Ovis aries: one gene and its partners. The protein of the gene in region 7 interacts with the protein of the main gene of each other region in a biochemical or structural test. Links are inferred from orthologs where the notes say so. Each region holds a gene or a part of one and is shown on either strand. Other genes may lie near its edges.

Region 1 (4,290 bases), on a different chromosome or scaffold from region 7:
GCCACCAGCCACAGCTTGCTTTGCCTCCCAGGAACCTAAAACCCATGGTGGCTCATTTTCTTCTCAAGGCCTCCATTTCCTCATCTGTCGGGTCAACAATACACAGGGATGGGGGCTGTGAGTACCCCCTGCACGGGCCAGGCTGAGACCCCCCAGGCTGATCACCCATGGCCTCTTCTCTTCGGGCCTGCAGGCGTCAAGATCATCTTCCGGGTGGCCCTGGTGCTGCTGCGGCACACGCTGGGCTCGGTGGAAAAGCTGCGCTCCTGCCAAGGCATGTATGAGACCATGGAGCAGCTGCGGAACTTGCCTCAGCAGTGCATGCAGGAGGACTTCCTGGTGCACGAGGTAGGTCCTGGCCTTAGCGTACCTCACACCCGCTTCAGTAGATCCCCACCCCACTTCACCCTGGTACCCATGTCTTCTCCATCTAGGTGACCAACCTCCAAGTGACAGAAGCACTGATTGAGCGAGAGAACGCAGCCCAGCTCAAGAAGTGGCTGGAAACCCGGGGCGAGCTGCAGTATCGGCCCTCACGGAGACTACACGGTTCCCGGGCCATCCACGAGGAGCGCCGGCGGCAGCTGCCCCCCCTGGGCCCCTCCTCCAGCCTCCTCAGCCTCCCTGGCCTCAAGAGCCGGGGCTCCCGGGCAGGTGGAGGGGTCCCCTCCCCACCCCCTCCCGTCCGCAGGGCCAGCGCGGGGCCTGCCCCAGGGCCCGTGGTCACCGCCGAGGGACTGCGTCCATCCCTTCCTTCGCCTACTGGCAACAGCGCCCCTCTGGCCCCTAGCGGCAAGGAGGCCCGGAGGCAGGAGAAGGAGCGGCAGAAACAGGAAAAGGAACGCGAGAAGGAGCGGCAGAAACAGGAAAAAGAACGGGAGAAGCAGGAGAAGGAGCGGCAGAAGCAGGAGAAGGAGCAGCAGAAACAGGAGAAGGAGCGGCAGAAGCAGGAGAAGAAGGCCCAGGGCAGGAAGCTCTCACTCCATCGAAAGGCAGATGGACCGCCTGCCCCCCAGGACGGCGGGGACAGGTCCTCAGCATCAGAGGCCCGGCAGGATGCGTACTTCTGACCTCTGCCCTGGGGCTGGACTACGTGGCCCCCTCTTTTCCCTCAGCCAAGAGCAGACCTAGCCTGGGGTCCTGCTCCCAGCCCGCCCTTGGCAGGCTGTCCCTCTTTTTGAGGAAAGTGGCTTGTTCCCCGTCTCCGTGCCAGCCGCTGATCCCCACGTGGCCAGGACAGTCAGAACGGGGGGCAGCTGCATTTCCCTGGGGAAGCAGTGGACACCTCACCTCCAGCTCGGCCCAACTGGGGTCCCTTCCCAGGTGCCACTCTCCTGATTGGCCTTTGGTCACCGCAGGGGTGACCTGTGGCAGTGGGAGTCAGCAGTTTTCAGATTCTTACACTCCAGTCACTCCCCTTACCCGTGAAGTGAAGCTGGGTTCCTTTACCCCCTTCAGTCCTGCCTGTCTTCCCCCAGTTCCTGGTTGGGGGCCCAGGCTCTTCTTGCTCTCCTTCTGGACATCTCTGTGTTGTAATTATGTACAGAGGACCTGGTGGGCCCCGGGTGGGGGTGTTCACTCCATCTTCTGTTCTCTGGTTCTCCCTCCTCAGTGTTCTTGCACTCTAGTTTATTTAAGGGGACACGCACTGGAACAGGAAATGTCTCCCACCTCCCACCACCACCCTCCTTGCTCTCCTTCCTCTTCACCCACCTTTCTCTGTATTCTCAGGCCTCCCCTGCTTTATCTGACCAGGGCCCCTGCCTTTCACTTTGTCCCTTCCAACCCTCCAGCCCCTTCCTGGGTAAGGGTCTTCCCCTGAGCCCCAGGGGGTGGAACCCAATGTTTACATGTTCTTCTGTCTCTGCCCCCACCCTGTTCGGCCGCTTTGAGGAACCGGAAAAGAACCTGCTGTTGTACCTGGGCCTGTCTTTTGCCTTGTTATTTGATGAGTGGGGTTAAAGTAAGGACAAGGAGGGAGGGAGTGATGAGTTAGCAAGGATCTGGGTGTCTCTGGAAGCTGTTGACTGGACTTGGCAGATACCTTTGGGTCTTTAGTCTATTAGTCACTCATCAACACAGTTGTTGCGTTCCTGCTTCACCTCCACCTGCTGGGGATCTGCTGCCTCCGTTGTCACTGGCCTCCTGGAACTGTCTGTGGACAGCCTGCAGCATCCGGATCTCCTTTCCAAAGTGCTCGTGCAACTCCTGGAAGCTGAAGAGGGTCCTGGGGGTGGCTGGGGAGCCACAGTCCTCTGGGGGTGAGCCGGGCTCTTGGCCAGCTGCCTGGCACAGCTCCCGGTACTGGGCCTCCAGGGGGCGTAGCAGCTCAGCCAGCCGCGTCCAGGTGGCTCCGGCCAACGCCCACAGCCAGGCTCTCAGCTCCTCCCGGTTTTCTGCTGCCAGCCTGTAGGCCCGCCCACCATCTCCCCCTGGAGTCCGAATGGTAAAGGCATAAGGTTCTGTGGCTCCAAGGCGTGGCTCCACCTGGCAGTTCTCTAATAGGATGAGACCCAGGGGTGTGTGGTCAGCCTGGTGTTCCAGGTAGAAGAGGAGGTTTCCTCGCAGGATGAACCAGCGGCGCTGATAACTGGTATTTCGGGCCCCCTTCTTTAGCAGGATGCCCTCCCGGTCTGGAGCCTGTGTTCTGTACCCACGGAAGAAACGGAGCACGGACTTTCGGTGCAGTTTCATGGTAGCCCACTGTGGGAAGAAACCCTAGGAGTGGAGAAAGGAGGAGTGGGGCATTTGGTGATCCGGAGTACCCCAGCACTGCCCTCCTCTGGTTCCAGCAGGCTCTTTCTGGGCACTGTCTTGGTCTTGGTCTAGAGGGATTCAAACTTGAGTTTTCAAGAAGGACCTTCCACCCACCTCCCAACCTCAGCTCTGCCCCTTGGGCCAAATTACAAAACCTGGGCAGGACTGTAGTGCTGGGGTCCTGTTTGGGGGTGGGGTTGGCGGATATCCACTACGGCCCTTTCCCAGGCCTACCTGAGATGAGGGCACAAGGGACTTCAGGCCTCGGTACTGGGAACAGGTGCCACTGCCACCTCTCCTATTTGACTCTTCCCACCTCAGAAACCAGGAACTTGGCCAGGGGATAGGAGGCGGCTGATTTTAGACTTCCCCTGGGTCCTAAAAGGAGCTGGGTTCGGAAAGTCCCAGGAGAACCTCTGGGACAACAGCAAGGCTACACCTCGGACTAGCAAAGGGCGGACAACTGGACGCCAAGAGTAGGAAGGCAGGATTTCTAATGAGATGATGAAGGGCGCAGAACCAGCCGTGGGGAAAAGGAGACAACCCGGGAAAGAGAAAACTAGGGCAGGAACCCACCGGCCCTGCTGGGACTTTGTTCCTCCATCGTGAACCTGGGCGCCCCTTTCTCCTCAGAGCCTCTAGTGTTGTAGGAGGAAACCGAGATCACTTCCGGCCATCCTCGTCCGATCAGGGTCTAGGCGTTCAAATGTCCCCTCTTCTCACCATAGTCACCCCACACGGCTCGCGTCACTTCTGGGAGGGGGCGTCTCTCCCCGCGCGGCGCGTACTTCCGCCCGCTCCTTCAGTTGTTCATCTAACCCGAGTGAAGCCACTTCCGGCTTTCCCCGCCGCCTTCCGCAGTTCTCTTCCGGGTGGTGGCGGGCGGGTGGCCCGGATGTAGCCCTGGTGAAACCCTCTCTCCCTTTCTTCCCCCACCTTTCCTGGATCCTTAGGTGAGCGCGTGCCGGCGGGACTGCTGGTGTCCCCGTGGCCCTGCCGCCTTTCTAATTTGTACACAGCCCAAGACAGTTGGGAGTCACCCCGCGGAGTTGGGAGTTCGGCGCAGGGAGGAGCGGGGCTGCCAGGGCGCTAGGTCCTGGGTCTGCCGGGGCCCCTCGGGTTCCGAGGAAGCTGGGGGTGGTGGAGCGGGTGTTTACCCGCGAAGCACATCGCGCCCAGCACTGCTGGGGCCTGGAATAAGGGTGGTCACGTGGGGGAGCCCGTCTCCTCTTGTCAAGGGTGGGGGTGCCCGTAGGAGCTCCTCCGCCCGTCCGCTCTTGCGTCTCCGCACCAGCGGCTCTTTTAGATGCTAAGCCAAGTCCCGGGAGGGGCGGGGGGAGGGGCGGGTTCTGGACTACCAGCTCGCCTTTCGGCTCCTGATTCTGTACTCCCTTCCCAAAGTGGATCTAGTACCCGCCAAGTAAAAGATCTGTTGTGCAGGGGGCCCCCTCGCGGGGAGTTGCCTCCTCACCCAGTTCCCTTAATCTGCACCCTTTCCCTCTGCTCAGTTTGGAAAAGCCCTTCTGTCCAGTC
Region 2 (3,998 bases), on a different chromosome or scaffold from region 7:
CTCCAATGCATGAAAGTGAAAAGTGAAAGGGAAGTCGCTCAGTCATGTCCAACTCTTAGGGACCCCATGGACTGTGGCCTACCAGGCTCCTCCATCCATGGGATTTTCCAGGCGAGAGTGCTGGAGTGGGGGGCCATTGTGTGCCACTTCTAATTACCCTCCCTGCCTTCCCCCCATCTCCCTGCGGCCCTGGGACCCAATGCTCTTAGTTTTATTCCTGCTTCCTTGGCTGTTCCTCCCCTCTGAGGACTGCGTCCTCTTTCTAACCACCGTGTCCCCCTCAGGGCTCTCTTCAACTGCCACCTATATGCTAGGGACACCCAAACACAGCCTGACTCCTTCCTGAGCCCCCAACCCTTGTATGCCACGTAGCAGATGAACACTGGCTGGAGAAGCCGTGCGACTTGTGTGGGCTTCGAGCTGTCTCACTAACTGTGTCCAGCAGACCCTGGCCAGCTGGCCGCGTAATGCCGCTGCGGAGCACGCTTTGTCACCTCGAAGGCGGGGGTGGGGTGGGAGTTCTCTGAGATGCTCCAGGGTCACTCAGGCGAACACTTATAAAGCCCTGTACAAACTAACCTGCTTTATTACAAGGATAACAGACGCTAGCCTGTCTGGAGAGAGATCTCTGTGAAGCTCCGGGCGGGTGACGATGCTGTCTGGGGATCCGGCTCCAGGGCCCCGCGCCGGGACCGGGAAGCGGCCCAGGGGCCAGGCGAGCGGTGCTGTCTTACCTGCGGGGGCAGCTCTAGGTGGTGGGTGACACCCGGGAGTCTGGGTCCAGTGCCGCCAGATCTGACTTTTTTCTACAGAAGCTACCAATCTTGGTTTCTGAAATTGAGCTTTTCAGTTCTTTAGTGGGAACCAACTCAAAAAGATGGACATTGCTAGCGCCCTGGCGCTCCGCGCACACAGCCCGCTGCTCCCGCCGCGCAACCAGGCCCCGGGAGCGCCAGCTTCCGCGGAAACGGCCACGCGGGACGGTTGGGCGCCAGGCCGGGGGCGAGCCCTGCGAGGGTCGTCCGCCGCAGCCAGCAGGCGCGCGACCCGGAAGTCCGCCCGAGGCCCGCAGGCGCGCGACCCGGAAGTCCGCTGAGGCCGCGGCGCCGCGCACGCGCGGCCCCGGCGCGGCGGAAGTGCGGCGCCGGCGCTCTTCCGGGCGGGTCGCGCCCCCCGCGCCTGCGTCGCGGCGTCGGGCGGAAGCTGGTGCGGCTCGCGAGCGGCGGTTGCCGAGCGGACCCGGACGCGCGCGGACCCCGAGCCCTCGGGCCGGCGCCCGCCGCGGGCCGCCGCCATGTCGCTGCTGCAGTCCGCGCTCGACTTCCTGGCGGGCCCGGGCTCCCTGGGGGGCGCGGCCGCCCGCGACCAGACGGACTTCGTGGGGCAGACGGTGGAGATGGGCGAGCTGCGGCTGCGGGTGCGCCGGGTCCTGGCCGAAGGTGAGGGCGGCCGCGGCCGGTCGGGCGGCGACTGCGGGGGACGAGGCCGGCCGCGGGTCGGGCACTTCCGTGAGGGAGGCTCGGGGCCAGGCCGGGCCCTGGCGGCCGTGCCGGCGGGTGCGGGCCACCCCCGGCCCGGGCGGAGGCTGGCCCGGCGGGCGGGACTCCACGCGGCTGGAGGCTGGAGTCTGCAGGCGGGCGGTGCGGCGGGGGCAGGCGAAGCCGTGGCCCCTCTCGCTCCGAGGGCCACGGCGGGGGGCGGACGCAGGGCCGGCCGCCTGGCTGACAGGGGCTCGGGCGTGGGTGGCCGTGGCCCTGGCCTCCGCAGGTGCGGGGGCACGCGGTGCGGCGCCCGCTAGCCGCGCTGCCTCCTTGCCCCTGAGCGTCCCTTTCCCCGACCTGCGTCTGAGTCCCCAGGCGAGTTTCCGCAGGACGAGCCAACAGGTGTGACCGCTGCGGACCTTGCTTGGCAGGCCGGGCAGGGCCGTCTTTGGTACTTCCGCGTGCCCTCTCTGGCTTCCTGAATGCCCTCTTTACTTCACGCAGAGTTGCTCACCCCTGTTGGCGCAGCCCTTTTGCTCCTTTGTCTGGCCCGGCAGATTCCCCTAGCCGTGGCACTTGGCAGCTGAAGGCGTGGCTTTGGGGCCGCTGCTGAAGCCTGAGGTACCCCCCTGATTTCGCACTCTTGCTGCCAGCTGTGCTCAGTTTGAGCTGGGCAGCGCTGACTGTTCTGGGGCCCTCCTTCCTAAAGTCCTCAGGTGGTGCTAAGGCCAGAGCACCACCACACATTTTTTCTCCACTGTCAGAAACATTTTGGGTGTGACTGGGTGACAAGCCTCAGGCTCTTTCCGAAGTGGAGGCCAGTGTATCTAGTAATGAGAAGTGTCCCCCGCTCCTCCGCCCCCCACCGCCCCATCAGTTCGTTTATTCTGAAAATACCAGGCACGTGTTTTGATTCTTTAAGGAATCACAGTGCACAGGACGTGGTTTCTGCTTTGTGGAAGTTCAGGTGAGACACAGGCGCTCTGATGACTGGAGGTCAGCAAAGTGCAGGGGGTCCCCTGGTGGGTGGACAGTGGGCCCAGCTGCAGGGCTGGAGGAGGAGGGGGGCTGGAGGGGGTTGGGGAGGCGGCTCCGGGAGACAGGAAGCTCCTGCCAGTGGCTTCACCCGAGGATGAAGACCAGCGAGAGCAAGTGCCCGCCCTGGCTGTGCAGACCTGCTCCTTCGTTCCCCCAGGACGTCAGGAGCCGTCGATTTCCTGCCCGTAAACTGAAGTGGTAGCCTAGGGCTTGCGGAGCTCGTGCGGCTGCTTCTGAACTGGGCCAGTAGGAGACCTTTGGAAGTCCCTCACGTAAAATAGCAGCTTGAGGGCGTGGGCTGTGGGCTTCTGTGAACACGGGGAAGGGCAGCTCAAAACTCCTGGGCACCTATGTGGACAGTTGCAGAATTTTTCAGGTTTTAGAAAGGTAGAGTGTAGCCTGTGGGTCGTGGGATACACCACTGAGAGTTGGGAAACAGTCACGTCATCAAATGTACTAATATTTAATACTCCTGTAATTAAGTAAGTATCCTCATTGTGGGGCAATTAGGTCTTCAAATAGCCCCGTGTCAGGTCATGTCAGGGTTGCCCCAGCTGAGCTTCTCGCCAGGTTTTGCTCTCAGATGATTCTCCAGGCAAGAGCGCTGGAGTGGGTAGCCCTTGCCTTCTCCAGGGGATCTTCTTGACCCAGGGATCAAACCCAGGCCTCCCACATTGCGGGCAGGCACTTTATCCTCTGAGCCACCAGGTAAGCTGGTGTATAACTAGGTCTCCAGATAGCCCCGTGTCAGGCCATGTCAGGGTTGCCCCAGCTGAGCTTCTCGCCAGGTTTTGCTCTCAAACGATTTAGGGAGAAAGCGTCGGTTTTCATAACTTTTTGCAGTTTATAGCCTGAAATGGGTTGTTGGGTAGAACTATGGAGCTAGATAGCTTTTCAGAGTTTGTTCTAAATTTTCACTTTTTAAGAACAAGCGGGCTTCCCTGGTGGCTCAGACGGTAAAGAATCTGCCCCCAGTGCAGGAGACCCAGGTTAGAGCCCTGGGTCGGGAAATCCCCTGGAGGAGGGCGTGGCAGTCCACTCCAGTGCTCTTGCCTGGAGAATTCCGTGACAGAGGAGCCTGGTGAGCTGTAGCCCTTGGGGTCGCAAAGGGTCGTACGCGACAGAGCGACTGACCCGCTGGCATCCCGCGGCGGCAGGGGCGTCCCTGGGGCCTGTCCTGACTGCAGGAGGGCATGGGGGCGGGTGTGTTGGAGGAGAGGACTGGGCCCTCTTCTGCAGGGCCCCGCCGCCTGGTGCCTGGGGGGCTTGTCGGGGGCCATGGGGCTGTGGCGGCCCCTGTGGACCCCCCTTTCCACGTGGGAAGCGTAGGTGAGCCCTGAGCCCCACGGCTCACCGGTCTTGTAGTTCTGGTGTCTTCTCGCTTGAGCGTTGAGGTCTTGTCAACCCTCTGTCTTTGCCCTTGACCCTGGAGCTGGAGGCCTGAGTGCGGAGACCGTTCTCTGCCAGGGAGGGTTCCTA
Region 3 (3,500 bases), on a different chromosome or scaffold from region 7:
GGTCACCAGAGGCAGTGGGTAGGAGGAGGGAAAATTGGATGAAGGTGGTCGAGAGGTACAAACTCTCAGTTATAAGATAAGTAAGGGGACTTCCCTGGTGCTCTAGGTGTAAGACTCCATGCTCCAGATGCAGGGGGCCTGAGTTCCATCCCCAGTCAGGGAACTAGATCCCACAGGCCACAACCAAGAGTTCTCATGCCACAGCTAAGACCTGGCACAGCTTAAGAAATAAATAAAATATTTTTTCAAAAAGATAAGTTAAGTTCTAGGAATATAATGTACAATATGATTGATAGAATTAAAACTGCTCATGTTATATGTGGAAGTTGTTAAGAGAGTATGTCTTCAGAGTTCTCATTACACAGAACCAAAGTTTTTTCTATTTATTTAATTTTATATTTATATGAAATGAGGGATGTTCACTAAATGTATGGGATAATCATTTCATCCTGTATGTAAGTCACATCATTATATTGTACACCTTGTGTGTGCTCAGTTGCTCAGTCATGTCCGACTCTTTGTGACCCCATGGTCTGTAGCCTGCTAGGCTCCTCTTGCCTGGGATTCTCCAGGCAAGAATACTGGAGTGGGTTGCCATGCCCTCTTACAAGGGATCAAACTCGCATCTCCTGCCTCTCCTGCACTGCAGGTGGATTTTTTCCCTACTGAGCCATCTCAGAAGCATTATGTCAATTATAACTCAGGAGAAAAAAAGTGAAGTCTGCTAATATCAAGCACTTTTAATGGGTCTGAGAGGGATATTCTCACACACCCAAAATGGGAGTGAGGTCATTTTGGAGGGTCTCTAGGCAGCGTGATTGAAATTTAAGGTGCACAGTCCTCTGACCTAGCAGCTACAAGACTCCACATCTACCCAGAGGAACATTCCCATGAGAACGAAGGAGGCACATCAAAATGGTAAATTGAGCCCTGCTTAGAACAGAGAAGAAAGCTCAGAAAAAATCTAACAGTCCATCAGAAGAGAAATGGCTGCATTGTGATATATCCACTTTCTGGAACATGACACAGTGCTGAAAACATGAGCTACACCTAGCATTACCGACATCAAAGGAGCTTACATGAAGACAGATAAGCTATGTCTGTCCCCCTTCATATTCATACGTTGACGTTCTCACCCCCAGTATCTCAGACTGTGACTGTATTTGGAGATAGCATCTTTAAGGAGGTTATTAAGATATTGACCAAATAAGGTGGGCCCTAAGCCAATATGAGTAGTGTTCTTGTAAGAAGAGGAAATTAGGATATGGATAAAGATGCATGAAGGGAAAACCTAGTGAAGACACAGAGAGAAGATGGGCATCTACAAGCCAAGGAGAGAGGCCTCAGAAGGCAACAACCTGCAGACACCTTAATCTTGGACTTGTTGCCCCCATACTGCGAGAGAATAACGTTCTATTGTTTAAGACAGTGGTCCCCAACCTTTTTGGCACCAGGGACCGATTTCATGGAATACAGTTTTTCTATGGACCAGGGTGGCAGGAGGGGATGGTTTCAGAATGATTCAGGCATGTTACATTTATTTTGCATTTTATTTCTATTATTACATTGTGATATATAGGGTCTTCCCAGGTGTAACTAGTGATAAAGAATCTGCTTGCCAATGCAGGAGATTCAAGAAATGCAGATTCGATCCCTGGGTTGGGAAGATCCCCTGGAAGAGGAAATGACAACCCACCCCAGTATTCTTGCCTGGAGAATCCCATGGACAAAAGAGCCTGGTGGACTACAGTCGATGAGGCCGCAGAGAGATGGACACAACAGAGCAACTGAACATGCTACCTTATAGTATATATGATGAAGTAATTATATAACTCACCATAATACAAAACCAGAGGGAACTCTGAGCTTGTTTTCCTGCAGATAGATGGTCCCATCCAGGGATGATGGGAGAGCAATAGGGATCAGCTGTAAATACAGATGAAATTTCATTCTCTTGCCTGGTGTTAACTTCCTGCTATGTGGCCCGGTTCCCAACAGGCCACAGGCCAGTATTTTGGCCATGAACTAGTATTGGACCAGTACTGGGTTAGGGACCCCTGATTTAAGGTACCTAGTCCATTTTAGACTGTGGTACTTTGTCACAGCAGCCCTATTGAACTAGACCACACAATACACAATATTAGATATTTTCTCTGGGTGTATATAGCTATGTGTAATGTATGGAAAAGAGAATGGAAGGGTTCACCCCAGTCCAACCCCTCCTTTGGGGAGGCATAGAGATTGAGATTGGGGACTAGGGGTTGAAAAGGTAAAATAAGGCTTTACTGATTATAATAACAAAGTACTTGCACATTATTTGTATATCAATTTTAAAAGCCCTCACTCATGGTCTTCTATTGACTACAGCATACAATTTACTTCCCCACCTGCAACCAGCCATCTGTAGAACTTCATTCCCACTCTCACTCCTGAACCTTTCACACCAATTTGCCACACCAGACTATCCCACCCCTCCACAGTCTCCACACCTCTGTCTGTCTTGTCTTTCCCCCTCTGTAAGCCTGGGCTGCTGATTCTCATCCTTCAGAGCTCAGCTCAGCTGTTGCTCACAGTAGAAATAGGTTGCTAGAAGTCTTACTTGGCAGATTTTTCCCAAGGCCCTCTTCTCTCTTTTTTTTTTTTTTCCTTTTATGTCTTTATTCATTTTCATACTCCCAGTTCCCGATCAGTGCCTGTGGCCAAGTAAATGCTCAATAAATGGTTCCAAATACGCTGATGATAGCAACATTTTCTAGCAGGTTGCTTTTTCCTCCAATGTGTCTCAAAGGTCCCACATTTCATTCTGTGTGAATTAACAGACTCCCTTGAGACCAAAACCATAATCATGACATGACCGAGGGCCAAGCCTTCTACTGCTTCTTTCATACAATGGGGATGACAGTATTTCTGAGCTAGCCAAGCCGCATTTACTTTCAATTTTGGTGAAATCAACTGAGAATGTATTGCAATTTATTTTATTCAAGTTCTGTGCCCATAAAGGTCTTCAATTACTTAACTCACAATGCATGCATGCTCAGTCACGTCTGACTCTCTGCGACAACATGGACTGTAGCCTGCCAGGCTCCTCTGACCATAGGATTTTCCAGGCAAAACACTGGGGTGGGTTGACATTCCCTTCTCCTGGGGTTCTTCCTGACCCAAGGATCGAAACTGAGTCTCCTGCACTGCAGGCAGATTCTTTATCATCTGAGCTACCAGGGTTACCTGAAATAGCCCCTATATAAAAAAATGCCTCTTGAGCTCTAACTGGAAGGCTCTGCTAACCCAGACCTTACCTCTTCATTGGCTTGGGTGAGCACTCTCTCTCCAGATTGGAGGATGTGTGTTTCACGTGCATTGCATTATAGGAAGTGTGAGTGTAGTCATTTTCATCGCTGTAGTCAGGACCGAGCAACGTCCGGGCCCATGTTCCCATGTCATAAGGAGGAAGAGTGCCTCCAAATTCAGATGGCAAAAATTCAGGATGTATTAGCTGGTGG
Region 4 (4,143 bases), on a different chromosome or scaffold from region 7:
CACCAAGAGCTTAGGTCTTAAACATGACAGTAGGGACTATAACAACAGTGGCAGGCAAGTAAGTCCTTGACAAATACCTGCCGAATGAGTTAACAAAAGTATTGATTTTATTATGGAAACTGTAGCCTCAGGAAACTTAGGATACAGTTTACACATGCTAGAAATAAAAATGGAAGAATTTCATAGACAGAAACCATGGGGCCTTAAAAAGTCTGGCTGCTGTAAATAGTCAAAAACTCCTTAATCTGAATTGAAATAACAGTTGCTAAATATCCCCTAGCTCTTTCTAAAACAGAGGCATAATAAGATGAAATTGGTATCAACTTCATTATCATCTCTAATCCAATCCAATATAATCTAATCCAATCAATCCAATCCAATCTAATCTTTCAAGAAACTGCTATAGCTCTCACCCCACATTTAAAAGCAAACAAACAAAAATAATAATCCATTCCTATTACCACATGAAAGAAAAACTACTGTCAACATAATGTTATGAGAGATGTCTAAGGTAGTATTGGTACCTCGGGTTGGCCGATCTCTGTTTTTTTCTCTTGCAGCAGCTCTCTCTCTCTCCTCCAACTCTCTCCTGAAGTCACGGTTTCGAACTTCTTCAGGGGCATCCTGAGTGGTCTGTCTAAAGTAGAAACAAGACAAGGCAAAGTTACTTCTAAAAAACACACGGCTGTAGTAATGGAAGACAATTCAAGAAACACAACTTCAGCCTGAGTCCTAAAGCAGAAAACTCCACTAGGGGATAAACAAAATCATCAGTCTAATCCAAAAGTTACTAAGAGGCATCCTGTGATGTCTAAAACCTCACACTAAATCAACATACTTTTAAGAACCTCAAACTAAATCAACAACCTTTAAGAACCTCAAACTAAATCAACATACTTTCCCATAGTAAGGCAGCAGGTTGATCAAAACGCTTATACTTTTTGTTAGTATGCTAACTCAGGGCTTGTTACAGCAACACTTTTAATCTCATACTGATTTGTATTGATAGTGCTTGCTCCTCCTGACAGAATGTATTATTAGTCATTGTTCAATCTACATATAGAAATTCCTGGTTAACTGGAATTTCTGCTTAAGGAATATCTGGTAGCACTTTAAAATCATGGAGCATAATTCTGGGTGTCTGAAACACTACTACATTCTACTCCTATGAAAACAGATAACTTGAGTGATAGTAACCCCAACATGCTACCTCATGACCACATCATTTAACAGACTTGGTCTTGCTTGTGAAACAAAAACTAAAAGGCTTCATTACCTATATTTTATCTTTGTATGAGAGGGTAGGTCTCTGCTTGAATACTGCTTTGAGAGTTGGCTCAAATCACCCTCACCTTTTCCTCTTCCACCTCTTGCAGGTTCAAAAGTTGGCCGAGCTGCTGTTGTCATCTTTTATGCTTTGAAGAAAAACACTGTCAAGTTATTTTCAATATGACAAACTCTCATTTTGAAAAGCATTAATCTATAGCCATCCTTGTGAAATAATTTCCCTAGCTCATTCCCTCAAACATCTGTGACCCCTGGCAAGCCACCAAGTTTAAGTTTCTGTCATCTGTGAAATGGGGATATTCCTCAAAAGGTTATTAAATCAGGAGACGTGACATATCAAAACCTTTATAAAATACAGTACAGCCATGTCTGAATTTAAAACATCTCCACTCAACCTCACGCCACCGGACTCCTTACTCCCATTTCATCTAAACCTCACACAGCAGAACAGGCTAACAACTACAAAAGCAAAGACATCTTAAAAAAAAAATCACTGACAAAGTTACTGAGTGTTCTAGTAAAAAAAGTGTGTTAAGCTTCAATGACAGTTACATAGGCAAATATCTCCAACAATCTTTTGTTGATCAAATTTCCTCCAGTAGCAGCCAACATAATATAAATTAGATCTTTTCCAAGTTACAATTTAAGAAATGCTGGAAACACAAGAGCCCACCCTCAAAGGACTGTAATAACCAAAAATTAGGGACCCGTTTGTGGTTACTGAAACATCCTCAAGCGTCAGAGAAGCAAGTGTCAGGGAAAAACTGGGGGAAATGATATACTTCTCTAGATTTTCCGGGGAAAAAAAAAGGGAGAGGGATGTATCCAGAGAGACAGAAACAGGGTTTCAGGTCTCTGGGGAGCATCGCCGCCTCCCCCCCAAAACAGTCATCCCTGGGGCGGGGAGTTCACCTCCGGGCTGTCGCAGGGAACTCGCTGACTCTTCACCCCTATCCCAGGGGGCGAGGGGCGGCCCTCTGCCGAGATGCCTTGGCGCTGCGCTCTCGGGAGCCGATCGGAGACCAGGGACACGCTCGCTAGGCGCGGAGCCCCACCACCAGTTCGCAGCTCCACCGCCTCCTCCGCATTTACGGGCTCTCTGACTCCGCCCCCAGCTTCCCCTTCCGGCCCCACCGACAGATGGCTCTCCGGTCTGCAGCTCCTGGGCCTCCGCGGCCTAAACCCGGTTAGCTGACTCCGCCCCCAGCTGCCCCTTCCGGCCCCGCCCACAGGCCGCTTTCCCCGTCAGGCCCCTGTGGGGACCGCTCAGTCAGCACTGGATTCTCTGCCTCCGCCCCCAACTACCCCTTTCCGGCCCCACCCACACTAGGCTTTCCTCGTCTGGCGCCTCCAGGGCCCGCACCGAGTTCTCTGCCTCCGCCGCCAACTGCCCCTTACGGTCCAACCCACAGTCTGCTTTCCTCTTGCCGCTCACTTTGGCCGAACTCCAACGCCGCTACCTCCGGAGATCATACAGACGCCATCTTGACTCTCCGCTCCCAGAAACCTCTGCACCCGCGGCCCAAAAAAAAAAAAAAAAAAAATCCCAAGACCCGGAAGCAAACCCCAAGCTCGTCAGGCGCCCGCGGAGGCAAGGACCAGTCAGCGGAGACCAAGGTGGAAGTCGAAGTGACGACGCACGGGGCGGGGCTTAAACGGCCCAGGGGGCGGGCATTTGAAATCAGTGCTTTAGAGTAGACCCTGAACGTTGTTGTGTAGCTTCGAGAGTCAATTAATGTGTGTTCCGTCTTTTCCTTTTCCGACCCCCTCCCAGATTCCTTCATTCCGGTACTGCGTAAACGAAGAGCCCCGAGTAGCCGACACCAAGTCCCCGGCTAGCGAGAGAGCATAGAAAAGGATTACACCAAACTGTTTAAATCCAACGGCTCCTGCTTCCTTACTCCTGAGCTAGACCCAACAAGCCTAGAGAGTTGGGCTACGGAAAGTAGTATTTGCATTTAATTGGATATGAAGAAAGAACAAATATGTACGGGGGCAACCACGATCTTTATAAAGGTACCATTCCTGCAAAAATATTAGTCTTCACAACGAAGGTTGTATTCGTAACGTTCGTTAAAATATTTACTTTTTATAAAAGCCTAAGTTCTAGTGGGAGGGGAGGTGTCACTGTCGAGATTCATTTATATACTAACAGACATTGAACGTTTAGAACGGTGGCCCAACTGCCAGGAGCCCTAGATGCAGTTACTATTGTAAGATGGCTACTCATGCGTTAGGGAAAGTTTTCATAAGGTAACGAACAGGAAAATTAAAAAATCACCAATCGTCCTAACTCCTTCCCCCACCAAAAGCCCTCTGGGAGCATGGATTTTGTTTGCCTTTCCAGTTCAACTTGGTATCTAATCACATAATCCTTGGCCACAGTAGATGCTCAGTAGATATTTGTTAAACAAATGAAAATTGAACTCCCCCCACCTTAGTTTCAAATGTAAAGAGCTCATAACATCGAACAGAAAAAAGCTTTCCCCACCAACGCCCCCAGAACTCCTTGAACGTTAAATGAAACAAAGCATAGAAAAAGTCCCTTCCCTCATAAAATTCAAATTGCTAATCTTGATTTTTCTTACCAAAGGTATTAATTACTCTCCTAATCTGCCACATCTCAGTAAAGGACACTACTACCATCAGGCTAGTTACTCAAACCAGAATCCCAGCGCTCCTCTTAAATCCCTTTCCCTTCACTTTTCTCATCTAGTTTACTTGCAAGTCTTCCCAATTCTACTTTCAGCATATACCCCAAATTTCATTCCACTGCCTTAGTCCAAGCCAGCATCATTTTCTACCTGGATTGTAATTGTCCCCTAATGATCTTCTTGCTCCCACTTTTCTCCCACA
Region 5 (4,295 bases), on a different chromosome or scaffold from region 7:
AGACCACTGAAATGGGACGGATTGATATTCTAGAGGAGTCCAGAAACATGCCCATTAACATGCACATATGAATTCTAGGTTTTTTCCAAAGTTAAACTACACAGCAGGTGGGAAATATGGTCATTTCAGTAAAACGAAAAAAACAAATTCCCAGAAAAATTAGGTGTTGATATTTTTTATTGAAGGATAATTGCTTTACAGAATTTTGCTGTTTTCTGTGAAATCTCAACATGAATCACCCATAGGTATACATATATCCCCTCCCTTTTGAAGCTCCCTCCCATCTCCCTCCCCATCCCACCCCTCTAGGTAGATACAGAGCCCCTATTTGAGTTTCCTGAGACATACAGCAAATTCCTATTGGGTATCTATTTTACATATGGTGATGTAAATTTCCTTGTTACTCTTTCCATACATCTCACCCTCTCCTTCCTAGAATCTATTATACAGAGTGAAGTGAGTCAGAAAGAGAAAGATAAATACCGTATTCTAGCACATATATAAGGAATCTAGAAAAATAGTACTGAAGAATTTACTTACAGGGCAACAATGGAGAAACAGACATAGAAAATAGACTTAAGCGCTTAGACTCTGCGCTTCCTGCTCAGCCAAAACAAACAAACAAACAAAAAGTGACCATGCCGCTATCTCACAGGATGTTTATTCTAAAGCCCTTGTTTATAAAGAAAATGCTGATTTCCTCCGTCGTCCTGCTTTGAGAGAATTCATAAGAAATCTTCCGTGGCCCCCACCTCTGCCCTGTACATGTTAATCTAAATGTCAAAAGCAAAAATAATAAAAAGTTTATAAAATAATGAGAAGAAAAGAAAACTAAGTCTGAATATAGGAACTGGCTATCGGCCAACTACGATAATGAAAAGAGATACATAGCCTCCCTGGTGGCTCAGATGGTAAAGAATCTGCCTGCAATGAGGGAGACCTGGGTTCAATCCCTGGGTCGGGAAGATCTCCTGGAGAAGGAACCAGCAACCCACTTCAGTATTCTTGCCTGGTGAATTCCATGGACAGAGGAGCCTGGCGGGGCTACAGTCCATGGGGTCGCAAAGAGTTGGACACGACTGAAGCGACTAACACTTTCATACAGCCTCAAACACGTTTCTAGATACGGAGGTTGGCGGCTGGGGTTGGGGGTTGGGGGGTTTGGAGGGGTTGGGGAAGGCGGGTTGCGGGGAAGAAGAGAAATATATTTCGACAATCTAAGCAGGACTCCCTCCTCTCCCCTCTGGACTTCGATTTGAGCTACCTCCCCTCATCCTTCCACCCTTTCTGCCTAACTCCCCACTCGCGCTGAAGACTCGGAGCACTGAGGCGACTGCACTGGCGTAAATTTCTACCTACGTGCGCCACCGCCCCTGAAGGCCGTTTCATGACGTCAGAGCTAAGCGAGGGGGCGCCGCCTCCTGGGTGCCAGCCCCTCCCAGCCTTGCGGCCCTGGCTTGCCCTTTAAAAGAGCAGGGCCTGCGCCAACCGCCCCACACCGCGGGGACCAGGATACAAGGCTGTTTTCCCGGAGCATCTTCATCTCGCCTTCCATCCCCTTGTCATTCACCGTTCCGACTGCTATCCTCTTCTCCGCGCAGATTTGGACGAGCCAGGCCATGCAGCCGGCCGCCCTTCTCGGCTTTCTGGGAGCCACGGTGGTTGCAGGTGAGTGGGCGCGGCTGGCCGTTCAGCACCGCGGACAGCGCCAGCCTCTGTCTCCTTGGCAGTCCTGGGCATCTTGGCTGGTGGATACTGGGTGAGAGGCAGGGTTGAGTGGAAAGTCTCTCCCTCTTGATTGAGGGTCTTAATTTCTTCCCTTCCCTGAGTGTTTCCCTTCAACTGCCCGCCCCAACATCTGACTTGGAAAAAGCCAGAGGACTTCCTAGCTCATGTCTAAAATGTCACATCCTCTCCATCTATTTAGAGAAATGCTGTTATAGTCTTTTTCTGTATCTGCAATTAAGTGTTTGTTTGGCTTTTTAAAGCCAGATGACCACGGAGAGACAGGAGTACACCTATTATATTAGTTGACAACTGTATACTTTCTATGACTGTTACTATTATTTAAACATAATGAGATAAAGGTAAGCCTCTTATGTTTATATGTATAAAAGATATATCTTTTTTTCTTAACATATATGTTAAGAAATGACACATATGTATGTTCATTTATCCACAGGTTTAATGTAATATTTTTCTGTATTTTATATTTTTGTCTCTGGGAAGAGGTAATTTCACACTCAAATTAATATATCTTTAAGTTATAAATGAGAAGTGCAATAGATATTTTGACTTCTGTGCTCCAGGAAAATAGTGAGTGTGAAATAACCACAAAAATATTCTTAGAGTAATAAAAATAAATTGTTTTAGTCAATTTGGGAGGATGCAATTTTAATGTGTGGGAAATTGTGGGATTAATTTTTCAAACTGCTCTGAATCTCAATGATCTTTGGAAATTTGGGGGGGGGAGGGAAGAGTGTGTGTGTGTGTGTGTGTGTGTGTGTGTTTGTGTGTATTTGTATGCTGAAGTCACTACAAGTCCACTGAAAAGTAAATATGCTGCCACCAGATTAAACTGGAGGGTTTTTTAAAAACAGTCTTAATAACCTCATAGAATATTGTTCTTATCTAAGATTGAAATTCCTAACAAGAATTGAAGCATTGCCATCCATGAATATGAGGGTTCCATTGACAGTAATTACTGGATCCCAGATATAAAGAGAGACAAGAGCCAGAGGTAATTTTTGTATTGCAAATTCAGAATTTTCAAAAAATTCTTGTCACTGTTACAAATTGCCTACAAATGTTCATGATTTAATTGAAGAAAGCCAAATAAATATTTAGAGTCCTCCCTGATGAAAAATATTTGCAGAAAGGAATTGCTTAATAGGCTAAATCTGTGCTATACATTGTGCTATAGACCACAAAAACAATGTTATTTCTGAGACTTATTTACCTACATGTGTATTAGTCACCCAGTCGTGTCTGACTCTTTGGGACCCCATGGATTGTAGCCCACCAGGTTCCTCTGTCCATGGAATTCTCCAGGCAGGAATACTGGAGTGGGTTGCCATTCCCTTCTCCAGAGGATCTTCTCAACCCGGGATCAAATGCAGTCTCTTGCATTGCAGGCAGTTTCTTTACCACTGAGCTACCAGGGAAGCCCCTATAGTGATAAAATATTTATGGCTCTTTTGCAAGATAATATTTTAAGAAGGGTTTATATTTTAATGTCAACTAAAATCATGATATTCTTTAAAAAAAAGTTTTTTACTGAGCTATAATTCACACACCATAAAATCTATACTTTTTAAAGTGCATAAATCAGTGATTTTTTGAACACTCACAGATTGTGTAACCATTATAACATTTCAGAACACTTTCTCTCACCCCAGGAAAAAAAAGTCTATTCCCCATTCCCTCCTCCTCCAAATGCTTGGAAATGAGACATGGTAGCCTTCAAGCAGAGTTTGTTATTTACCAAAATCACAGGAATCCTGTGGAAACCATCTGGTTTATTTCCTACCATTATGAGCTTCTGGAAGGAGATCTATACCTTTCTACAGTAGTTACTATGCATCCTAAAAATTAATATGCATTCAGGAGCTACATGCTATTCATATTACACTAGGTAAGATGGTTTCTGCATTCAAAAGAGCTTGCTTACTGTATTATTTTATAGCTGTTTTATTTTCACTCTGGGATGAAACCTTAGTTTGTTAGTCTTATTTGTTGTTCTTGTTCAGTCGCTCAGTTGTATCCAGCTTTTTGCAACCCCATGGACTGCAGCACCCCAGGCTTCCCTGTCCTTCATCATATCCTGAAGCTAACTCAAACTCATGTCCATTGAGTCAGTGATGTCATCCAACCATCTAACCTACTGTCATCCCCTTCTCCTACAAAAAAGATCTTATGACCCAGATACCCACAATGTGTGATCACTCATCTAGAGCCAGACATACTGGAATGCAAAGTCAGGGGGTCTTTAGGAAGCATCACTATGACCAAAGCTAGTGGAGGTGATGGAATTCCAGCTGAGCTATTTCAAATCCTGAGAGATGATGTTGTGAAAGTGCTGCACTCAATATGCCAGCAAACTTGGAAAACTCAGCAGTCAGTCTTATGGAATACTATTATTTTGGAAGTTATTCTCAGATTTACCATGTGATATTATTTGAAAGTTTTTCTGCCATTTGATTACTTCGCTTTTATCATAATCATTGGGTTTTCTTTTGTGACCCCTAAATCTTAACTTATACAGAAATAAAATAAGCTACTTTAGGGGTATCAAC
Region 6 (4,143 bases), on a different chromosome or scaffold from region 7:
GACTGGGAGTGGTGTGGAGAGACATGACTAGAAAGTCTTGACGTCACAGCCAAGGGGCCATGAACGCCCCTGGCTGAGGTGATGCTCCAAGCAGGTAGCCGGAAGCTGTGAAAAATGTTTTTGTATTGTGTGTGTTACAAATGATTTCCAGGCAGGGTGACTGGCAGAAAGAGGTAAGCTAGGAGAAGGAGCTTGCTGGTAGGGGAGGATGCAATTTGGTTCCAAAGACGCTATGGACACCCTTGAGGTGTTGCACATCAGATAATTGGAAAATCTGGCCGCAGATCCTGGCTGAGTCCTCTCCCGAGAGGATAAGAGACCGCAGAAAGTTCTGGTGGTTGTCTCAGGTAACAGGGAAGCTAGGGAGGATGTGAGGAAAACACTAGCCAAAGAGAACCTAGACAGGAGGAAATGATGCAGGAACAGCCCCCGGAGGCCAAAGTTTCAATAATGAAATTATAGCCATGGTTGAAAACCTCAACCTTGGAGCCTGAAACGTGTGAGTTTGAATCCCAGGAACCCGAGTAGTCACATTTAGCAAAGGGACTTCAAGAGTTTTTGAGTCTGTTTCCTCATCTATGAAATGTGAGTGATTTCTACCTCAAAGGATTGAGAGCATTCACTAAGATTCTTAGCATGGGGTTTGCACACAGTAGGAGCTAAAGAGTAAGCAGGGGCCAGCGGGAGAAGGAATTAGAGAAGTTAAGAGTATTCCCCTGAGGAGCGTCGGGAAATGGAGGCCGGGACCCTCAGGAAGCCCAAAGCCTTTGCTTCAGCCGAGGGTGCTGACCGGCGTGGAAGGAGGATGGGTGCCTGCAATCTGAGGCCTTTCCTTTCCGTCCTCGCTTCCCTCCAGCCGGGCCTCCCAGCAGCAACCTCCCCCCAACCTCCCCGCCCCGCCTCGCCTCAACCTCCCCGCCCCCGCCTCAACCTCCCCGCCCCCGCCTCAACCTCCCCGCCCCCCCCAACCTCCCCGCCCCCCCCAACCTCCCCGCCCCCCCCTCAACCTCCCCGCCCCCCCCTCAACCTCCCCGCCCCCCCTCAACCTCCCCGCCCCCCCCTCAACCTCCCCGCCCCCCCCTCAACCTCCCCGCCCCCCCCTCAACCTCCCCGGCCACTCTACTCGGCTCCCCACCAGCCAGGCCCCAAAGCATGATGCGCATGCGTCCTCCCGCGCCCTTGCCCAGCTTTCCACGTTTCACTTCCCTCCTTTTCCCTCCGCAGCGCCAGCTCCATCGCTACGATTGGCCAGAAGACCTCCTCGGATTGGCCAATAAACGGCGCCCTGTCGCCCCCGTGTTACTGGGTAGAACAAAACAAAAACAAACAGAGCGAGAGGGGCCAGAGACGCTCGGAGGCAGCGACAGACGCTGAGGTGCGGGGTCGGGGCCGGCTGACCAGGGACCTGGGCGAGCAACAGCGGCGGCGACGGCGGCGGCCTGAGGGGTCAGTAGCGGCGGCCCGGCCCGCGCGCTCGGGAGGACTGTGCCCTCTCCCACAGCCCCTATCTTCAGAGGCAGCCGCTCGTTGGGGGAGGGGGGCGGGGGGTCGTGGGGTCGTGGAGGCCGCGGCCGAGGCCGGGTCGGGCCGGCGGGGCCGGCGTCCGCCGCCTCCTCGGAGCTCGGCCGGCCGAGCCGCGTCCGCCCCAACGCCCTGGGCTGCGGAGAACCGGCCCCGATGCTCTCCTCTGGCCTCGGCTGGGAGCGTGGCGGCGCGGGCCCGCCCCCTCTTGGACCCCCTCCAGGCTTAGCGGGGCGCGCGGGGCTCTCGCCGTCGAGGGGCTGCTCGCCCACCAGAAGGCCGACTTTTCATTTTCCTCTGGGGATGGGCCGTCGGGAGGCGGGTTTCTGGCCCGACTGAAATCCTGTGAGGAAGGTATGCGCCCTCCCCGCCCTCCTGGCCTCCTTGGGGGCCCGCGCTGAAGATGCGGCCCGGCGTTGCCCGGGTCCGGCCGCCCGCCCGCGTCCAGCACCACGCGGGGGTCGGCCTGGCCTGGGGGCTGCAGGAGCCCGGGCCTGCGCGGCGGAGAAGCGGGCCGGGCCACAGCGGGAGGGGCTGCTGGGAGGCGGCCACGTGCCCGCCGCCCCGGCCCTGCGAGAACTTCGGCGCGCCTCAGGTTGGGTATAGGGTCGCTTGTTTAGTTTAAATGAAATCTCCCGGGGAAAACAAAGGCAGGGAGGGAGCCCCCTTTCTGTGTTACGTGTGCTGTGTCTGCTGCATTTGTCTATTTGATGCTGCGGTGTATGCGGGGAGGCTTTTTTGGTTTGTTTGCTTTACAAGAGCTTCGGAACTGCCTTCGGAAGTCAAAATCGCCTGTCTCCCCTGGCCCTAGTGAGAACTGACTGCGTAGCTAGCAGTTGTGAGATACTGGCAGAGAAGTAAAATGACTAAAAATGCACCTTCCTCGGGGGGGGGGGGGGGGGGGGGGAATGTCACCGCCTGTTTCTCCCTGCATTTTCCTTGTTAAATTAGACTTTTGGCATTCTTGCTAACGTAAGGCTTTTTAGGAACTCACCACTCACTTTTTAAAGGATCATTATAGATATGTTGTAAATTTACTTATTGGTATTTATGCCTTTGAGCTTTCCTGGCGGCTCAGTGGTGAAGAATCCGCTTGCCAATGCAGGAGATGCTGGTTCAATTCCCGGCCCCGGAAGATCCCTTGGAGAAGGAAATGGCAACCCACTCCAGTATTCTTGCCTGGAAAATCCTATGGACAGAGGAGCCTGGAAGTCTACAGTTCATGGGGTTGCAAGAGTTGGACACAATTTAGCGACTAAACTGCCACCACCATATGCTCTTAACTTCCCTTTTTTATAGATTTATTAAACTCCTTAATATCTTAGCAGGCGTCTTTGAATTTTATTTTGGTTGGTTTTTCTGTTGTAGTAATGAGAAAGGAAAAGTAGTTAAGAGTGTAAGTAGCTAAGAGTGTAAAAATAAATGACATTTTGCTGTTTTCCCTCATTTTTGCATCATTGTGGTTGAGTGCTTTTAGCTGATTTTAAGTGGCTAGTTAGCAGTGATTGTAGACCTGAAGTGAATACAGGTACTTTTCTAGTTAACATATGGCCTAAACTTCAAAAAAAAGTCGAAGTGGTTTATGAGGTATATTTCAGGAAATAGATTGTTTTAGGGGAAGTAGGGTGGGAAAGTGAGGATCTTTTTGGGAATGTCTTGGAAATTGATGCTTCTGCTTGTATGCTTCTGTGAAACACAATGGATAAATGAAAACTTTAATTTCAGCCTTTAATTTTGTCTAACTTACAGCTTTATTGAAAATTTTCTAGTTTTGTGTGAAGAATGTGGAGTTTAGATTTTTTTTTTTTTTTTTGCTTTACATTTTTCTTAAGTTTGTGGCAAAAACCTTACGGATTGTTAAGTAACTGGAAGCTCATTACTTTGAAGACAGTAGTAACACGGGACTTATCTTTATCTTTCTGTAAATTGTTCTAAAACATCTGTGTTGTTATCAAGTGTCCCTGAGTTCTTGAATGTGTTAATCATTGCCAGAAGACCGAGACAGGGCTTTTTGTTGTTGTTACAGTTATTTAATAAAAACAAATTTGATAAACTATAGTCATTACCTGATAATGTTCTTTGTCCAACTGAGCGTCTTTTGTGTAATAATTTAGATATTATTTTTAGTGTTAGAAAAGTAGTATTTAAAATTTTGATATGACAGCAGAAGTGTGTGTTCTAATAAGCTTCTTTCTGGTAACTCTAAAGAATCTTCTGTGGGTTATTAAAATCTTGTATTGAGCTTGTGCACACAGAACTGGATTCAGAAGGTCAGGGTTCTAATCCTGATTCTTCCAATGAGCTCTTTCTCTGATTCTGTTTAGTTGTTTGACAGTGGAGTTCCTACCTCAAGATTCTTCTGAGTGGTGCATGAAATAACCCATATAAAATTGTTTCTGAATTATAAGAGGCTTTTTAAACATCAGTTATACTTTATTAGCTAAGTTCTGTGGAAAGTGTCCTCTTGAAGATTGTATCAAGATTGAAGAAGATTTTAAAAATTAACTCTAGTTAAAAAATCTCACACTCATATCATGTAACATTTTCTCTTTCTAAAACGTGATTCATCTACTAAAATGAAATAGATTTGGCATTTTCAGCCATGGAGGACACTAATGTTTA
Region 7 (3,500 bases):
CAAGTTAAAGTTCTATGCCAGTGGTTCTCAAGCTTGACTGGACAGTGAAATCAATCACCTGGAGAGCTTTAAAAAATATGATCCCTGTGTGCCATACCCACAGATTCTGACTTGTTGGTCTGTGTCTATTAAGAGCTCCCCAGGGGAGTTCAGTCACAGCCTGAATGGCAAAACCATGGTTCTTCTGGGCATTATCCCTGAGCAACAGCATATTCAAGGTCAGTGTCTGGATAAGCAGACTCTGAGTCCCGGTCCACAGCCACAGAGCCAGGGAATGTGGACGTTGGTAAGACTGAAACCACTGCTCCTCATGGGATAGTCTGTCCAAGACAGCTAGGTGCTGATCTGGCATTCACAGAATGACTCAAGCGGGTCTGTGGCCCACAGGAGAGGAGGCAGCCACGCTGTCCCAGTGTCCGGACCCTAAGCCAGCAGTTCTGCTGCAGGAAAGGGTCTTCAGTCAGGCTCCTCCAGCAAAGGGTGTCTCCCTCCCCCCACTCCCACCAGGGCATAGCCGCAGGGGCTTGGCCTGCAAGCAAATAGTGCCCTATGCAGAAAACGCAACTACCTGGAGGTCCATCTCAGCCAAGCTGATCAGCATCCGTGCTATAAACCTCTGCCAGAAGCCAACCGGAACGAAGCTCATCTTAAACACTCTCTGAATGGTGTTGGCTGTGGGGTGCCGCATGCCGTGGGTGTCCAGGCCGGGTTTGGACGGAAGCAGATGCGGCAGGAGGTAGCTGAAACACCAAAGAGGGCTGCTGAGCCAAGGCCTGAGCTCTGCTCTGGGGCTCTCACCCCTGCAGGCAGTCTGGCCTGGGGCGGGATCTGCCAAAGCAGCGCAGGTTGCCCGATGCCTTCCTCCCAGGGCCTTTGGAACCATTTTTAGAAAGAGGGGGTAGTTTATATGGTGAGCATAAATACTCCAAGAGAAAACGAAGATGGGCATAGCGAATCAGTTTGTCGAAGTCTCTAAGATAGAGACTAGAACACGGCGAGGGAAGACGTGAAAACATCTGTGGTCATAAACACAGACACAACAAATCACAGTCGGTTCTCTGTAAACCGGGTTGCGATTGGGGAGTTACTTAAAATTAACTTCGGATGGTGAAGGAAAAACAAATACAGCTGCACAGTTCCAAGGACAAGATATCGGGGGTCAGAGAAATGTCTTTGGCCTGAGAAGCTATTTATTGTTCTTGGCCAGTTGAGATAACACAATTACCTTGAAATTTCGAATGAGGCTCTTTGTGCAAAAGAATGATGTTTTATAAGAGCAGTCTTACTCATAAAAGGACTGAACTGCAGTGTCAGTGAGCTGTTCATGACTGTGATCACTTTTAATAAGCTGAAACGAGGGAGGTCCCTCCAATAATTCCCTGAAAACCAGCATCTTCTGTGTGTCCTGGAGGAGCTAAGATGGCCTTGGGCAGAGCCTTGGGTGTGTCCTTAAAGGCTTGCTTTCAGTTCTCTTAATCCTTTAAAATTCCATTAGTGTAGGTCCTATAAAATGTTTTTAGGACTTTCTGAAAGAAACCCCTGAAAACACTATGGAAGGAAAATTCAAAGACAGCCTGGGGGTGGAGTCCCCAGGGTGTCTTCAGCACACGGCCTAATCTCATTGCCATTCTGCTTCCTTAATGGCAGAAGAGTGGGGATGCCAGCCTTGCAGGGTTAGAGAAGAACGGACAGTGGCTGTGTAGGTGAGGTCCAAGGGGACAGATGGTGGCGTTTCGGTCCTTTTCAGCCATTATAGGTCTTGGCCCAAAGGACCTTGCCAATGAGCCCAGCTGGAGTGCCTCTCTCCACAGCCAGGAATTCTCTGGCACATGCCTTTTAGTTCTGAGAAGTCCTTTATCTCTCTGACCTCAAACAGGAGGCCCTTGTCAGTGCCCAGTGAGATCTAGCCTGCTTCTTCTGCCTATGCCATGCTCAGCTTGGGCACATGGGACCCCCTCCGTGGCTGTGCCCTGGGACTTCCCAATTTTTTCCATCTGGCCAGCGTGCCCGAGGGAGGGGGCACACTCTGTACCCAGGTGCCCCAGCACGTGGCACACACAGCAGGTGTTCAATATTTTTGAAGGTACGGATGACTTAAAAGCCAGAATGGCAAGTGAAGAGGTTTAAACTGATGGGCAAAGGAAGCCCCTCTCAATGTGAGCAGAGCCCTGGGCGAAACCACCAGCACTGGCTTTAGAGCGACCACTAACAGGGCAGGGCTGCCAAAGGTGTGGGCTTGGGGAACTAAGAGGGGAGTTCTTCACGTGCCTGCTGACTAGAAAGCCATGAAGACCTGGGCACTGCACGGGGTTTGCACTACGGCGGAGCCAGTCCATGATACGTCCCTGAGGCTGTCTTAGCAGTTGGGCCAGAGCCTTCCCCGAGTGCTGAGAGCCAGTGCATCCCCGCCTGGAAGAAGTACAAACACTCGAAAGTGTAGAGAGAGGTTTAGAAAGGCCCTGAAGGTTTTCCCAGGGACTGCAGGTTGAAAGGAGCAGCAAATGCCTTTGTTTTTGTTGATCATATAAAAGCTTATGGTGCAAAGAGCTGAAACTCCTTGTCTCTGGGGTACAAGGGACCCATTATATCTACACTTAGAGGTAGGTATAGTGCTCAGACACTCCTGACTTTAGATGGAACTAGACACCACTGACTATGAGTACTTAACGCAAAGATAGTAACAATAACAGCATTGATGATCCTGGATGTCCCTGAAGCTCAAAGGTGCAGGAGATACGTTTCATAGTTCACACGTACCCTCTGATTTAATCCTCACATTGACTATAATACTAGTAAGTGATAGTATTATTTCTATTTTACATATGAGGAAAAAAAGAGGCAGTTGCTTTTACAGAGTGAGAGTATTTCCGCATTCCTCTAACCTGCTGATAGAATAATCAGAAAACTGTCAAATTCCGGCAATGCTGTAAACTCACAGGCTGCTTTACCAGGGGCCAAAGTCAAGGACACACCTGGGCCAGGATGGGAGGGGTCATGTGGATTCTGAATTCCCCTTTGGGGTTTCTCTTTTTAGGACTCACTCTTGGTCCCCATGGGGCTGAAGCAGGAAGGACTGAGGCCCCTCCCACAGTCATTAGGCCAAGTGGATATATGGGTGGGAGCTCAGGAAGCGATGGCCCAGAGTTGGCTCCCAAGAGACCCAGACTGTGCTGATGGAATTGTTTGGCTGGCCATAGAGTGGCCAGGCCAGCCCCCGGAGGGTCCCGAGGGTGTTCCCCCAGAGCTCTGGGGTTGAGGGGCCGGGTGGTGCTGTGTTCTATGACAGGCATCAAAAGGGTCTGGGGATTTGGCATCCTGGCCACTGCCTCATGGCCAACATCAGCATCAGACCCAGGAAACAGCTGAGACTGAAGTAGAGAAAGGAGGCCCTGAGAACCAAGCCAGAGTGCCGTTAGACTGAACCCACATGCCCCTCGAGTCCCTGCCCTCCCTGCATTTTGAAACTGGGCTGGATAGTTAGCATGCACACTTTTGTACCT

The links.
Region 1: the proteins of LRRK1 (region 7) and CD2BP2 form a complex in vitro, tested with the Homo sapiens proteins (2 studies listed by BioGRID and IntAct, with this or other methods). The link is inferred for Ovis aries from reciprocal best matches to the Homo sapiens genes LRRK1 and CD2BP2.
Region 2: the proteins of LRRK1 (region 7) and GAK form a complex in vitro, tested with the Homo sapiens proteins (2 studies listed by BioGRID and IntAct, with this or other methods). The link is inferred for Ovis aries from reciprocal best matches to the Homo sapiens genes LRRK1 and GAK.
Region 3: the proteins of LRRK1 (region 7) and CLVS1 form a complex in vitro, tested with the Homo sapiens proteins (2 studies listed by BioGRID and IntAct, with this or other methods). The link is inferred for Ovis aries from reciprocal best matches to the Homo sapiens genes LRRK1 and CLVS1.
Region 4: the proteins of LRRK1 (region 7) and CWC15 form a complex in vitro, tested with the Homo sapiens proteins (2 studies listed by BioGRID and IntAct, with this or other methods). The link is inferred for Ovis aries from reciprocal best matches to the Homo sapiens genes LRRK1 and CWC15.
Region 5: the proteins of LRRK1 (region 7) and CHGB form a complex in vitro, tested with the Homo sapiens proteins (2 studies listed by BioGRID and IntAct, with this or other methods). The link is inferred for Ovis aries from reciprocal best matches to the Homo sapiens genes LRRK1 and CHGB.
Region 6: the proteins of LRRK1 (region 7) and PDCD4 form a complex in vitro, tested with the Homo sapiens proteins (2 studies listed by BioGRID and IntAct, with this or other methods). The link is inferred for Ovis aries from reciprocal best matches to the Homo sapiens genes LRRK1 and PDCD4.

Annotation. Positions count from the first base shown.
Region 1 is NC_056077.1:27,062,918-27,067,207, reverse strand, and holds the start of CD2BP2 (CD2 antigen cytoplasmic tail-binding protein 2), read left to right. Parts: upstream 1-1,490; 5' UTR 1,491-2,073; coding exon of another isoform or gene 2,074-2,694; exon of another isoform or gene 2,695-2,718; intron 2,719-2,991; exon of another isoform or gene 2,992-3,076; intron 3,077-3,641; exon of another isoform or gene 3,642-3,710; intron 3,711-4,265; 5' UTR 4,266-4,290. Other genes in the region: TBC1D10B (TBC1 domain family member 10B), read left to right, coding at 194-348, 435-1,070; sesquipedalian-1-like, read right to left, coding at 2,074-2,694. UniProt on the Homo sapiens protein: Involved in pre-mRNA splicing as component of the U5 snRNP complex that is involved in spliceosome assembly.
Region 2 is NC_056059.1:118,113,057-118,117,054, forward strand, and holds the start of GAK (cyclin-G-associated kinase), read left to right. Parts: upstream 1-1,198; 5' UTR 1,199-1,294; coding exon 1,295-1,439; intron 1,440-3,998. UniProt on the Homo sapiens protein: Associates with cyclin G and CDK5. Seems to act as an auxilin homolog that is involved in the uncoating of clathrin-coated vesicles by Hsc70 in non-neuronal cells. Expression oscillates slightly during the cell cycle, peaking at G1.
Region 3 is NC_056062.1:39,933,182-39,936,681, reverse strand, and holds part of CLVS1 (clavesin-1), read right to left. Parts: coding exon 3,297-3,500; intron 1-3,296.
Region 4 is NC_056068.1:15,092,383-15,096,525, reverse strand, and holds the start of CWC15 (spliceosome-associated protein CWC15 homolog), read right to left. Parts: upstream 2,801-4,143; 5' UTR 2,651-2,800; exon of another isoform or gene 2,200-2,650; intron 1,431-2,199; 5' UTR 1,408-1,430; coding exon 1,277-1,407; intron 638-1,276; coding exon 525-637; intron 1-524. UniProt on the Homo sapiens protein: Involved in pre-mRNA splicing as component of the spliceosome. Component of the PRP19-CDC5L complex that forms an integral part of the spliceosome and is required for activating pre-mRNA splicing.
Region 5 is NC_056066.1:47,754,636-47,758,930, forward strand, and holds the start of CHGB (secretogranin-1), read left to right. Parts: upstream 1-1,495; 5' UTR 1,496-1,619; coding exon 1,620-1,668; intron 1,669-4,295. UniProt on the Homo sapiens protein: Secretogranin-1 is a neuroendocrine secretory granule protein, which may be the precursor for other biologically active peptides.
Region 6 is NC_056075.1:30,953,258-30,957,400, forward strand, and holds the start of PDCD4 (programmed cell death protein 4), read left to right. Parts: upstream 1-1,343; 5' UTR 1,344-1,375; exon of another isoform or gene 1,376-1,446; intron 1,447-1,731; exon of another isoform or gene 1,732-1,875; intron 1,876-1,920; exon of another isoform or gene 1,921-4,143. UniProt on the Homo sapiens protein: Inhibits translation initiation and cap-dependent translation. May excert its function by hindering the interaction between EIF4A1 and EIF4G. Inhibits the helicase activity of EIF4A. Modulates the activation of JUN kinase.
Region 7 is NC_056071.1:4,897,988-4,901,487, forward strand, and holds part of LRRK1 (leucine-rich repeat serine/threonine-protein kinase 1), read right to left. Parts: intron 741-3,500; coding exon 569-740; intron 1-568.